2 linked regions of the Drosophila melanogaster genome follow. Changing the gene in region 1 together with any one later gene gives a genetic interaction. Each region holds a gene or a part of one and is shown on either strand. Other genes may lie near its edges. The genes, in order: disp and TkR99D.

The links.
Region 2: of disp (region 1) and TkR99D, changing one suppresses a phenotype caused by changing the other (phenotypic suppression), as found in Drosophila melanogaster (one study listed by BioGRID).

What each region holds. Positions count from the first base shown.
Region 1 is NT_033777.3:5,850,037-5,858,072, forward strand, and holds the start of disp (dispatched), read right to left. Parts: upstream 6,276-8,036; 5' UTR 5,873-6,275; coding exon 5,717-5,872; intron 5,316-5,716; coding exon 4,308-5,315; intron 4,247-4,307; exon of another isoform or gene 4,177-4,246; coding exon 4,085-4,176; exon of another isoform or gene 4,068-4,084; coding exon of another isoform or gene 3,360-4,067; exon of another isoform or gene 3,296-3,359; intron 3,274-3,295; coding exon 2,731-3,273; intron 2,659-2,730; coding exon 2,020-2,658; intron 1,836-2,019; coding exon 855-1,835; intron 723-854; coding exon 485-722; 3' UTR 1-484. Other genes in the region: CG34287 (uncharacterized protein), read left to right, coding at 3,360-4,067; ECSIT, read left to right, coding at 6,635-7,864. UniProt on the Drosophila melanogaster protein: Segment polarity protein which functions in hedgehog (Hh) signaling.
Region 2 is NT_033777.3:29,966,208-29,971,096, reverse strand, and holds the start of TkR99D (Tachykinin-like receptor at 99D), read left to right. Parts: upstream 1-1,649; 5' UTR 1,650-2,114; intron 2,115-4,889. UniProt on the Drosophila melanogaster protein: Receptor for tachykinin-like peptides.

The sequences.
Region 1 (8,036 bases):
AATAGTTTTGATTACAGATAAGAACATAAACAGCGTTGAAACGTTTGGCTAAGAACTAATAATACCGTCATCGTACAGTCCTACCGACAAAGACCCAGTACCCAGAGTACCCAGTACCTCCCGCTAATTGCTTCAGTTTACAAATCGTTTTCACTTGGCTGGAGCATCGAATGTGAAATGTCACAAGATAAAAAAAAAGCATAAAAGCATATTGCAATAGCCTGGAGTCTTTTGAAAATAGCTTTGCCTAATCCTACCAAGTACAATTACACATATATCTAGAGTATATCAATGTAGAACTCGCACAACACGTACATATGCCACCGCCAGCATATTTTAAAACTAAATATGCCGACACACGGCGTGTATATGTATATATAAATGTATCTCGGGCAGGCTTGAGAGCCGCCGTACCCTGTATAAAAATGCAGTTGCCTGATTCTTCTTGGCAACAACAACGCGTTGTCCGGCAATAGTAACTAACTCAATTGGATGTAGACGGATACGTTTGATATTTGCACTCGTGCATCGTCTGGAATGAGTGCTCGAAGTCCCTCGGCAGCGAGGACAATGCGTGGGCGCTTTCGATGCCCGAAATGGTTTTGATCAGGCTGTTGGAGTTTAGGGACTCCAGTTCGTGCGTCTCCGAGTTCGCCAACTCAACGATGGCCGAGCTTGTGGGGGTCAGCAGCTGCTCGCTGGCGATCACTTGGCTGGGTTTCCTGCACAAAGAAATTCGAGTTTTAATAACCGATAACGGGTAGTCACCCGTCAGTCAGGCTTGATAAAAATGACATTAACGCAAAACAGAGAGATATAGAAAATTGAAAGGGTCAATACGATAAAAGCCTTACCGCTCGTAGAACTTGCTGCTGCCACTGCTTCGCTTGCTCCACAACGGCCACTTGAGTTCCAGAAAACCATGCTGAGGACCGGCAACCCGAAGCAGACTCATTAGAAAGAAAGTGGCATAGAACCAGCTAACGATCATGACAACGACCAGGAAGACGCCAATCTGTATGTAGGGCAATATGTTGGATGCCATCATGATTCCGCCAGCTAGACCAGTTGTGGTGGCCGCCATCACTGTGGGTCCAATGATGCGGGATAGTACAAACTGTGTGGCTGCCAATCTCTCCTTAACCGGGGACATCCGGTAGTGAATACCGTAATGTAGGCTAAAGTCCACAGCCAGACCGATAGCCGTGCTCACCGCAATGCTCTCCAAGATGTTAAGCTGCCAGCCGAGCAGGATGAGCACAGCCACGGTGTTAAAAATACTTAGCGACACGGTTAGTACGGCGTAGATGGAAATCAATATGTTTACGGTGAAGCATAGGAGCACTGCAAGTGATGCAGCCATGGCCAGACAAATGGCAACAAAGGTGTCGTGCGAAAGGGTGTCCTGCACATTGTAAAATTTCAGGTCGCTCGTGAACCATCCTCCTTGAAGTTCCGGCGGTGCCGTTTTTAACTGCATCTGAAACCAGTGCTCTACAGACTCGTAGAACTGCCTAATATTTGCGTAGATGGTGCTGTAGGCCACGTTGGACTCGAACTCGATGACCAGGGCTTTGACTAGTAGCGGTGTAAATGATCCGTTGGTGCTGTACTCTGCACTCTCATTTCCACTCATTCCTAGGTAATCCTCAGTCTCCAGTCGGGGAGCCTCTGCAAACTTGGGTCCTGCCACGCCGGGCCGGAAAAATGTAGTGTCATACATGTTGGATATGCTTTGTGGCAAGCAGTACTCAAATATGTGCGGCTCAAAGGGAAACTGTGCGTCACAGCAGGGTGAACGGTCTTTCCTGGTACTGTCCATATCATCGATGCATCTGAACAACATGAACAAAAGCTTCTATTAATGATTGCAAATTGTATTGGTGTCTCTATATCTCCTGTCTTAATCCATCTAAACCAGTTCCAGCTTTCAAATGTAAACAAAATCGATTTTTCTGAACCCAGTTTTAATGAGCTTTCTAAGCCATTGTAAGTATGTATATAATTGTATATGCTCACCTGCGCTTCATATAGTCGATAAGATTTTCAATGAAACAATTGGGCAACAGCATGCCGAGAGTCTCTTTGTAAAAGGGTTGCTGGCGCACACTCTGGCAAAAATCAAGGATCCAGAGTTGTGCCGGCCTGCTGGATACGTTAAAATTATTGTCATAGTGCAGGTGGCCGTATGAGTTGGGGTTCGTATAGTCGCCGTCGTCCACCGCTTGAACGCCCCAGACGAAATGCATGTGCATCTTGAAGTTCTCGTACGCCTGCAATGGTTTCTCGAACCAGAACTGCTGCTTGAGACTGGAGTAAACCTCAAATGGATGCTTTGACACAAAGAGCTGGAAGTGTGATTTTTCCGGCAACTGAAGTCCTGGATACCAGAACACAATGACGGCACTGGACGCGCCTAGAGCCCCAAAGATCAGCAGCCAGAGATAGGCATAGTTCATGATGCTTTTCGTGATGCACTCCTCAAACATCTGACAAAATCGGTTAATTGACTTCTTGCAGGCGTGGATCAGCTTTATTGACATCGGATGATGGCAGGACATCCTTGTGGCAAATAGTCGTTCCATGATGGAGACCGATGCAGGCAACCAAGTTATCATTAGTAAGTAGTTGGTCACCACGACAGTTCCCGCAAAAATCCTAAAAATATAATTTATTAAATGAGCATTACTAAATATTAAGATTCATCTAATCTTGCTTTTATTAACTTACCCAAAGCACTTTATAGCTGTTATAGAGCTGCTGTAGGAGGCATAAAAGGCGCCGGCGGTGGTAAGTGAGGTAACGAACATGGAGGCAGCGGCATGTCGCATAGTCAGCGCCATTATGTTTTCCAGTGACTCCGTGTGATCACTGTTCTCCAGGGTGGGAAGAGCACTCTGGGACTGAGTGGTCAAGGTACATCGATTGCTGAACCTCTCGGTCAGCACACAGTGCCAGATCTTAAGAAACAGAAATACGTCGTCTGCTCCAATGCCAATTATTACTACCACGGCCAGAAGGTTCATATAGGGGAAGAACTCAAACTCCAGCACGATGGCGTAAAAAAAGTACGCTAGTCCTAGCGAAAAGCATATGGCTACGCAGGACATCAAGGTGATGAATGCCGATCCCGTGTACAACCACACGCTAGCCATGACGAATGTCCCTCCCAGCGAAACTAGCCACACGTCCGTCAGCAGCAGCTCGTTAAAGAGTTCGTTTTCGAGGCCCAAGTCCATCGCAACCACTTCCACAAGCTCGTTGATCAGCTCCCTGAAAAATCATTCAGAATATTATTATCAAACAGAAAACATCAAAAATATTTTTAAATAAAAGAAAAATACAAAAAAAATTGCAAAATGGATCCAGTTCAACGGGAAAAGGAATTAATTAAAATGGAATTGCCAAGGACGAGGGTGCTTGTAACCACCAGCAGAGCGGATTATGTGGATCATACTGAAAGAGCCGTTTACAATCCCCCGATTAAGAAAACCCAAGAGGATCCCTCTCTAATAAGTGGTCACTACTGCGCAAATCTAAAGGTTGGTGGCATTGAATATAAAACAAAGACATGGCCCCAATCAATGGACTGGCGGGAGGACTACGCACAGTTCATCAAGCGCAACAAGTGGTGTAACGAAAGGATCTACAAGCTATTTTTTATGTATCCGCCTGTGGATTTCCGAATTCTGAAGGACTTTGTGAAGGACCTTCGTAGATCGGTGTACATGAACGATTACTCTCGGAATGACTTCGTTTCTTTTGTAAGTCGACGGCGCTATAGGAACAAAAAAGGTTACTCTCTCAAGGACGAGGACTATCGGACCACATATGGGTGCTATTACAATTTCCTGCAGGAAACGGAGCCGTTTAGGAGCTCCTTCTATCCAGAACGTAGGCTAAAGGACACTACTCTGGACAAAATCGCCAGCGATTTACGAAAAATTTTCACAAAGTACAACTTGACCACCTATTTTGATACCATATGCGTTCCGGCCTTGATGAAAGCTAAAAATAATGTAATGCCCTCCACACCCATCGACCGGTATCAATTTCGCAAATATTAGCTGTGCTCCATACTTACACGTCTTCCCATTCGTGGAACAGTGGCAGCAAGCGGTTGGATTGCGCCACGGGTATAAAAATCATGGCGTATTTCAGGTATACATTCGAGTCCTACAAAAAAAAAAAGTGCCAATATTATATGGTCGAATTTAATGCAATACGAGTAAAGCAACGGACAAATACAAATCTGTTTTAATAAAAGAGTTTTGGGGTCTAAGCTTATTTTAAACTCAATAACTTACATTAGACTTGATGAAACTAAAGTCGGTGAGAAAATTCAGGACGTTAAAGACGATATTTAGCCGCTTGCACTCTTCAGGAGCACGACAATGCGGTATTTCGTTGCAGTGGTTGTCCATCTTTAGGTCATGGAAGTACTCATAGCAGCCCAAGAGCAGCGTGTGCAGCGAAGTAACATCCTCCGTGGTAAGGTCGAAACAGGAACTTTTGTTGGCCAGCATGGCGGCGTAGTTGGGCAGTGACCATGGCCGGCAGCACTCGGTGGTAAGCATCTCCGGCTCGCAAAATGCCCGGTAGCTGGGGACTTCGGTAATCTGATCCTGCAACTGACACATGGCCAGCAGTCCGTTCAAATCAAATAGAGAATCGGTGGCGTTGGGACCGATCCGCTGGACCACAAAATGAGAGTACTCCTTCCGGGGCGATGAATCGCAAAAGAATCCCTCGATGGGTTGGCGACGATGCATGTCTGCCCAACCGTCGGTGGGCAAGGTGGCGGCTTGCTTTAGGAGCCGCCAAGTGCTCTTCTTGGTCTGCACCCGCTGCTGATGCTCTTCCTCGTCCACTGAGGTGGTGTTGTGGCCATATTCGATTTGCTCAGTGCGTCGCGTGGGTTCCAAAGAGGAGGAAGCGCTGTCGTTTGTAATCTCGTAGTCGCGAAATACTCCACTGTCCCCGATCCAGGTGTCAAAGCCGAGATTTGGAGAGGGAGAACTAGTAGCCTTCAGCCGTTTTTTGAACTGCATCATCTTCTGCGCCACATCGTGATGCTCGTGGCTGCTTTGATTTTGTTCCTTGCGTCGCTTGTTCTTGTTTCTGTTCTTGTGCTTGTTTTTGCGTCGCCTGTGATTCGGATGCAGCTTCGTCTCCACATAGCCCTGCTCTACCCGTCTCCTCTCCCACAGATCCGATGGATTTGAGAAAAGAGCACCATGGTGGTCAGTCTCTTGCAGCAGGTTGTACCAGGCCGTCAGTCGTTCTCCAATTTTGGTGCCGCGGGTTTCGAAGCCCTAAAGTGAAATAAATGTTGAATCATAAATATTAATCATGACAAATAATCACATTATAAAGTGATCAAATAAGTCATATTAGTGAGAAATTAATCTTATTATTTTCCACAATTTTTACAACAATAACATAATAACAATGAAAATATAATACAGGAATAGTTTGTATACAAGTAATCCTGTAGTTTCTTATAGCAATTCTGTGAATATTTAAAATATTTTAACTTCTTAATATTTAAAAAAAATAGATATATAACGAAATTTAAATAAAATAATATCATTTAGACATTTTCGGATTATTTCCATGTGCTCAATATTTTAAAAAATAATTGTAAAATAAGATAAGATATATTCTCCAAATATCAAGCAGTGAACATGTTTTGGACAAATCTAATAGGACAAACCAAGGTGGGATCACTGAAGTCCGGCAGCTTGTTCAGGACGAGGGCCACGATGATGCAAGCGACACAGTAGACAGCAATGGAGACGACCACCAGGTAGGGACGCCTGGCCAGGACGTGGTAGTACCAGTTCATCCTCTCCGAGTCGAAGCACAACATGTCAGTAGAATGTGATGCCCGAATCCTCTTTACCCTCTTCGCATTGCGGGAACATCAAATGCTCCTTGGGTTTCCGCTTCCCTTCAGTGCATCCTTGGCGGCTGGAAGTCTCGAATAACGTTGGGCTGGTGGGTGCTCCTTGGGACCAAGCCAAAGTCTATTGTTTTGCTTCTGTTATAGATACTGCCTGCTGGTCAGGCCTCCGCCGCAGAGATCGGCTTGTTGGATTGCATTTTTATGTAGGCGCGCGCCCGTGCAAATAACTCAGGGTTCGGAACTAACTTAAACAACAGAAAAACAACCGAAAACTATGCGAATAAGGATAACGCAGAAAACGGTGAAATAACAACAAAAAGCAGCACAAAGGATACACTGAGTTAATACAGTGTTGAGCAACTCAGTCACCAGTGATGATGGCCCTAAGCCAGACAAACAGCTGTTCTCCGAAGGAAGAGATTCGTGAAGGTAGTCACAATGAGCTTATGCAATATTCACTTCAACTTTTGTTACTAGCGTATGACTTTAAGCGTGTATTACGGTCATGACACTATTTAAGCTTGAAAATCTTTGGGTACAGCCGAAACTAAATACAATTTTTCGCCCTAGAATTTACCAAATTTGGCTAAATACGCTAGACTATCGGCACTATTAAAACATATGTTGCAGCAGCAGTGCTGCAAAACGCGAACTAGTTCCGCAGCTTGTGCAATGTTTTGTAATCGTATTTGCAAATTTATTCAATTAATTAATTATAAATAAAAAATGCTGCGCCGCGCACAATGCCTGCTCCGGCTGCACGGCAATGGAGGCCATTCGCTGGTCAGCCGCTTTCGAAACTACGCTACGGACGAGGGAAATCCGAAACAGAACCCGAATCCAAATCCCAGGGCACAAAAACCCGGCACCAAAAACCTGCCGGCTTTAAGGAACCCCTTTGCCGCCGCCCAGGACAGGACGAAAAACAGCTACCTGACCATGGTGGAGATATTCCAGGAGCGCGACGTCCACCGTCGGAACCATGTGGAGTTCATCTACGCGGCACTCAAGAATATGGCGGATTTCGGGGTGGAAAGAGACTTGGAGGTCTACAAGGCCCTGATCAACGTGATGCCCAAGGGCAAGTTCATACCCACCAACATGTTCCAGGCAGAGTTCATGCACTACCCCAAACAGCAGCAGTGTATCATTGATCTGCTTGAGCAGATGGAAGATTGCGGGGTGATGCCCGATCACGAGATGGAGGCGATGCTGCTTAATGTGTTTGGCAGGCAGGGACATCCACTGCGCAAGTATTGGCGCATGATGTACTGGATGCCAAAGTTTAAGAACCTATCACCGTGGCCACTGCCCGATCCTGTTCCGGATGATACATTGGAAATGGCCAAGCTGGCGCTAGAGCGGATGTGCACGGTCGACCTGCGGTCCAAAATCACGGTTTTCGAGACCAGCGAGCTGAAGGATGCCATTGACGATACGTGGATCGTGAGCGGAATGAGTCCCGAGCAGGAGAAACTGCTGCGGGAGCACTCTCGCCAGAAAGCTCTGTACATCGAGGGACCCTTTCACATATGGCTTAGGAATCGCCGGATCAACTACTTTACCCTGCGCGCTGATGCAGATTCTGAGTTCCTGTCTGAATTAGATGAGCGGCAGCTGGACGAGGACGATGTCTCCCACATCGAAGTACCCTTCTTTGGTCGTGCTCCACCAAGGCGACACAACCAGCTGGGAAAGCTGCGCTCTGTCCACCAACAGGACGACGGAACCATTATGGCCATCTGTGCCACAGGCACCTCCACAAAGGACTCATTGCTCTCGTGGATTCGCCTGTTGGAAGCGAACGGAAATCCCTCCATAGGAGAGGTGCCCGTCCTCTTCCGGTTCACATCCGAAGTGCCAGCCAAGGCGGAGGAAATTGAAGGTGGCGCCAGTGTCCCGGCAACAAGTGATAACAGTAGTCAAGATGAGCACATTAGCAGTAGACAGAAATAAACAAATTGTTGAGCACTTTTTCGTCTTTGTATACCATAGAATTGATGGTAAATGTTGCTTAAAGTTAGTCGGTTTTGATCATATGTACATATATATGTACATCTGCTAGAAGGAAAAAAATTAATACTTCGGTAATTATTTATACTCTTTGGCTCGGACGCGAATTGAAAGC
Region 2 (4,889 bases), about 24 Mb from region 1:
CAATGGACTGCACGTCAGCGAGAGATAAAGAAATTTAATGACCTCCTGCTTTCACTGTGTATCCTCCTTCCACAAAATGTAAGACGAGAAAATAATCTAAATGAGACATCGCCTTCAAAGCGTTGGAAAATAGTTACCTAAGCTAGTTAAGTTGACTTGTTTCATCTTGGATCAGTCGAATATGTGTGCCAAACCATGGTGTAGGTCATCTCATTTTACATGCAACCCATTCGTTGCTCAGTTGTTACAACTAAATGGAGTGATTGATGGGACATTGATGCATGTGCAGCGGATGAAGTTGCGGGATTCCATCTCCGCCAGCAAATTAAGACGTCCGAATCTGGCGAAGAGGGGGAGGCATTTCGGATTCATTGCTTACTTTAGGCATTTTTGGCCAGATCAGCCACCAACACCTGCGGCTGTCTGGTGTGAAAGAGCCAAGTCATTTGGCCAAAACTAACAAACATACGCTCTGCACTGAAAACAATTTCTTTGTATGTATGGTAATTGTAAAATTGTAATTGTTTTATCAAAATGTAAATAGAGACATATTCTGTATGGAAAATAGGAGAATTTGCGGTTTTATACCCATAATTTGGCTAAAATCATAATTACAGTCAGTTTTATACATGTTTTTTGGAGCCTGTGACCTAAGCAATCGATCCAAATCACTTTTTAATTGATTTCGAAAAATTAATTTTTGGACCAATTTTCGCAAATTTGATAAGGGGTACCATCATTAAAATTTGCTAAAATTGGCCAAAAATTTATTTTTCAAAATCAACAAAACTTGAATGCCAATCGATTAGGCATGCAATTACGAGCTCAACGAGGTATTACATTCTATATTTTGATAAATTAATCCAAAATTTTTCGTAGCCTTTCCACTTGGGAAAGTGGAATTTTAATGGGAAATGGGAATTTTAGCCTTAGGACTTGGCTACCTTAGCAAAAATAGCAAATCACTTTGCACTGATAATCAAGATGTGTAATCTATTTCAATGATATACCCCTATTGAATTTGTAAACATGCATTCTAAACCTAAAACAAATTATTCGAGTGTATTGATAAACATCTTCCTTTGAATGTGGTATTAAACGCTTTGAAAGTGCTGTTTTGGAAGCGATATATTCATTGTGCATATGTGTGTATATTTTGTAAGACATCTTGGTCATTTGATTTTCCGCTTGTGCGTGGCGTGCACGTGGCAGAATCGCCGGAGTCCGGATTGTTTACGAATAGCCGTATGACAACAGAGAGCGAACGAAGGCAGAGCGAGAGGAAAAGATAGGGCGCAGGCGTAGAAAGAAAACACTCGGCAACACTGGTGAATTTGGGCGGGTTTCCGTTCGATTCCGTCGCAGATTTCAACGCTTTTCAAATGGAAACGTTGCTCATTGCTCCGATAAAATAAAAGGCCCTCAACGCAAAGGGGTTACGTGAGCCCTAGTCCCCAGTGCAACATCCCAACATATGCAACAAGCGGCCGGAGTCCCCGAGGTCCACGGGAACCCCCCCCGCCGCAGAAAAAAAAACCGCCCACTTTTTTGTGGCCCTTATTATAACACCGACATATCAGCGCGCACAGCCTCAGAAAATTCCGGCTGGCATTCAGTTTTCCGCTTTCCGTTCAGTTCAACGGCAGACTCGCGCGCGTACGGTTCGAACTGAAAAGGCGACGGGTCCGGATTTTTTGGACTTGTCGGTTCTCCGGGTTCTCGGTTCCTGAAATTCGCTGATGATAGGTGATAGCTGAAGCTGGCGGAGAAGTGTTGGAAAAATGCTGGAAAATCAGCTTAGAGCTGGCTGAAATGCCGCCGGCAGTCGATCCGTAAACGTAATTGAATTCGGCCCAGTGGATTGAAAATCAAATTCAATTTCGTAGCGAGCAAACACGCAAAAACGATAAACTAGTCGTTAAAGTGAATATACAAATTGGTGTTTTGATTAAAACTAATAAACATAAACACCGAAACCACAGAGCAGCAGAAGGCGAGCAGCGGAATTTATTTTTAAATACGATTTCTTTGTTATTCGCTGCCTGCAATTGGCTGACATTGCTCATACGCCGCGTTGGCCGAGCGAAGAAGTGGGGATTTCAGCATAGTTCCTGGTAAGCGGTCTCCCACTGCCCAAAGTATTTTGTTTTTTTTTTTTCATTCTCTTTCCACTCATTATTGTTTTTCCATATTACAAAAACATTGTTTTCGGGAGGTGGTGGCTTGAATTGCAAAGTTTATTGCACAAACCAAACCGAAATTGGTTTACAAGTTTATGGAAATTCGAGTCGCCAAAGTAATTAGAAAACTGCTATTTGTGGACAACTTTCGGCTGCCCTGGTAACTTTAGCTCGAAATGTAATTACATCGAGAGCCTAATCAAGTGACTAACCCAATTCGAAAGATCAAACTGTAGGCCATTCCCATTCATCCCGATTTTCCACTCAATTTGAGCAACGAGTTCCACGACTCCAGTGAGCTGAGAAATAGTTAACCGATGGCCAAAAACCATCACACCCAATTGACTTTGCCCGATGAAAAGGTTCTCCGATGATCTCAGATTTCGGAAATCTGGTCGGAAGAGCAAATCTCCTGGAATGACAATTAATTCGATTGCGATTTGCGTTTTTTAGGCCCACGGCGGAATGGAAATAATCTTTTTAAATAACGCACCAATTCCGTACATCCTGTGCCATAAAATAAAGTAAAATAAAATAAAACCGTGCGCATTGGCTTATCCCTTGGGTATTTTCACATGTGCCCAGCTCTGATGTTTATAATGCAAATAAGCAAAGTGTTTCAAATGTATTTATTTTGGGGTCGAAGGCGTTTCAGCGCTGGTTGTTTTTTTTTTTAAGCCATTTAATTTTAAGGGGAACGTAAATAGAAGCCTTAAATGCATGCAAACTTCCTGGCTGGATTTTATAGAGTTCATACACAGTTGATATTTAAGAAAAATGTAAACCAAAGGCAAACGAAAGTGTATCTCTTCGTTAGATGTTAAAACTTGATTAAGTGTTTGAGCAGTTAATTAATTGAATTTAATCAAGTACTTGTGGCCAAATGAACTCCACCCTGCAATCAATCGGAAATTTAAGTATAAATCATCAATCAAATCAAGGCATTCATTACCTCGAAGGTATTTCGCTTGTGAACTCCCGACATAATTGCCACTTTAATTGAAGAAAATTAATTCACTCGAAGTGTCCATTTCCAGCTTTCCTTCGAATTCGAAGTGAAGCGCTTTCAAGTGAATCCGCTGGCCAAACAGCACACTTAATTGCTCCTCCGAGATTCCAGACATCATCTAACTCAATCAGTGGCTGGCACAACTTTCTCCGCTTCTAAATATTTAATGTCAACTATGATTAGTGAGGAGGCAAAGTCCTGTGGTTTTAGGCATGTCGATGTGGGATGTGGGCTGTCGGATGTGGTCGGGGGTCTTTGGATCCGGATAAATGGCTGTTTGGCGGCCAAATGAACGCATCCGCACAAAAGCTTTGCCGACGGTCAGCTGAGCAAACCGAAATCCTTTCAGCGCGAATTGCTTGCGGAGGAGCAGGAGGGGATCCGAGGCCATTAGTTGGCCCCAAAAGGCGGCCTTTAAAGATTCAGGCAGGCGTGAACGGATGGGTATCTTTAAGCGAATACGAATGCGAATCAGTAATAAGTGAGTGGGGTGCCGTATGTTCCGTATGTCCAGTGCTGCTCCACAGTGCTGTCATGCATCAAAACATTTAATTAAATTGAAACCGATGCGGCATCCGCCCCACTGCTGACGTCTTTGCCCGGCCACACTGGACATTGGCCAGTGGACACTGGACTTTGGACATCGGAGCGAAGGAGGATGTGCTGCTGGAGGTGGAGGGCAGCATAGCAGGTCCTTTGGCGCCGGAGACGTGTGTAACTTCGGCTTTCTTCCCCAGCTTTCAGCATTCAGCATTCAGCTTTCAGCTGGACACCAGTTCACCATCTCCGCCCCGAATGAATTTAAATGAAGGCAGTGCCGGTCCTAAACAAGTCCGTGAATCATGTGCATATTTTAGCGGTGCTCAGTTGAGTTCGTCCCTCTTTTATGCAGCCCCATCGAGCTATGCAGTGTCCTTGTCGGTGGACAGGACGTGTATTCCACAGGGATAGCCTTTAAATAAATGGGTTAATTCGATGGCATTGTTCGCACACCCAGCACATGTGTCCACAAGACAATTGTCCAATTTATTGGCATTGAACAACTTTGTGTGTCTAATATAAAATGTTGCACATAACAATATGCAAATAACACTTGTGGCAGCATGTTATTTATGACTTTGTGAAGCTTAACTTTAATTTGGCATTTGGCCTTTGTCAAATATTTCATTTGATCGTAGATCCGAATAAAAATTCAATTTTTTCCCAAATGAAGTCGAGCGAATTGGTTAATATTTCCGGAGACGAAAAAAATCTATCAATTTTGAATAAGTGAAAGTTAAAAGCTCCAGCTGAGAAGTCATTCAATGGGCAAAAGCAATACAATTCAAAACTGAAATGTACTCAGTTGCCCCTCGGCCTCGCCACTGCTCCCCATCTTTCCACGCCGAGCAGATCTGCCAAAGAATATACACCGACTGGCAGATGATTGAAATGGGAGTGAGAGCCACAGCGCTGGGAATCGAATGGGGGGAATGGGGAATCGGAGGTAGCCTTTCTTCACTTCTGTCTCCGCTTTGTTCCTCAATTTACACATAATTGCAATAAATTGACTAAGTGGGTGCTGGGGCACTGAATTTATTGTAGTCCGAGTCCAGAGCTCCAAAGATCCATAGCTCCAGAGTCTTGGACATTTGGGCGGAACTGCAGCACCCGTCTATTTTCTCTTCTTACGTATTTATTTTTGCTCGGATTGCTAAGCA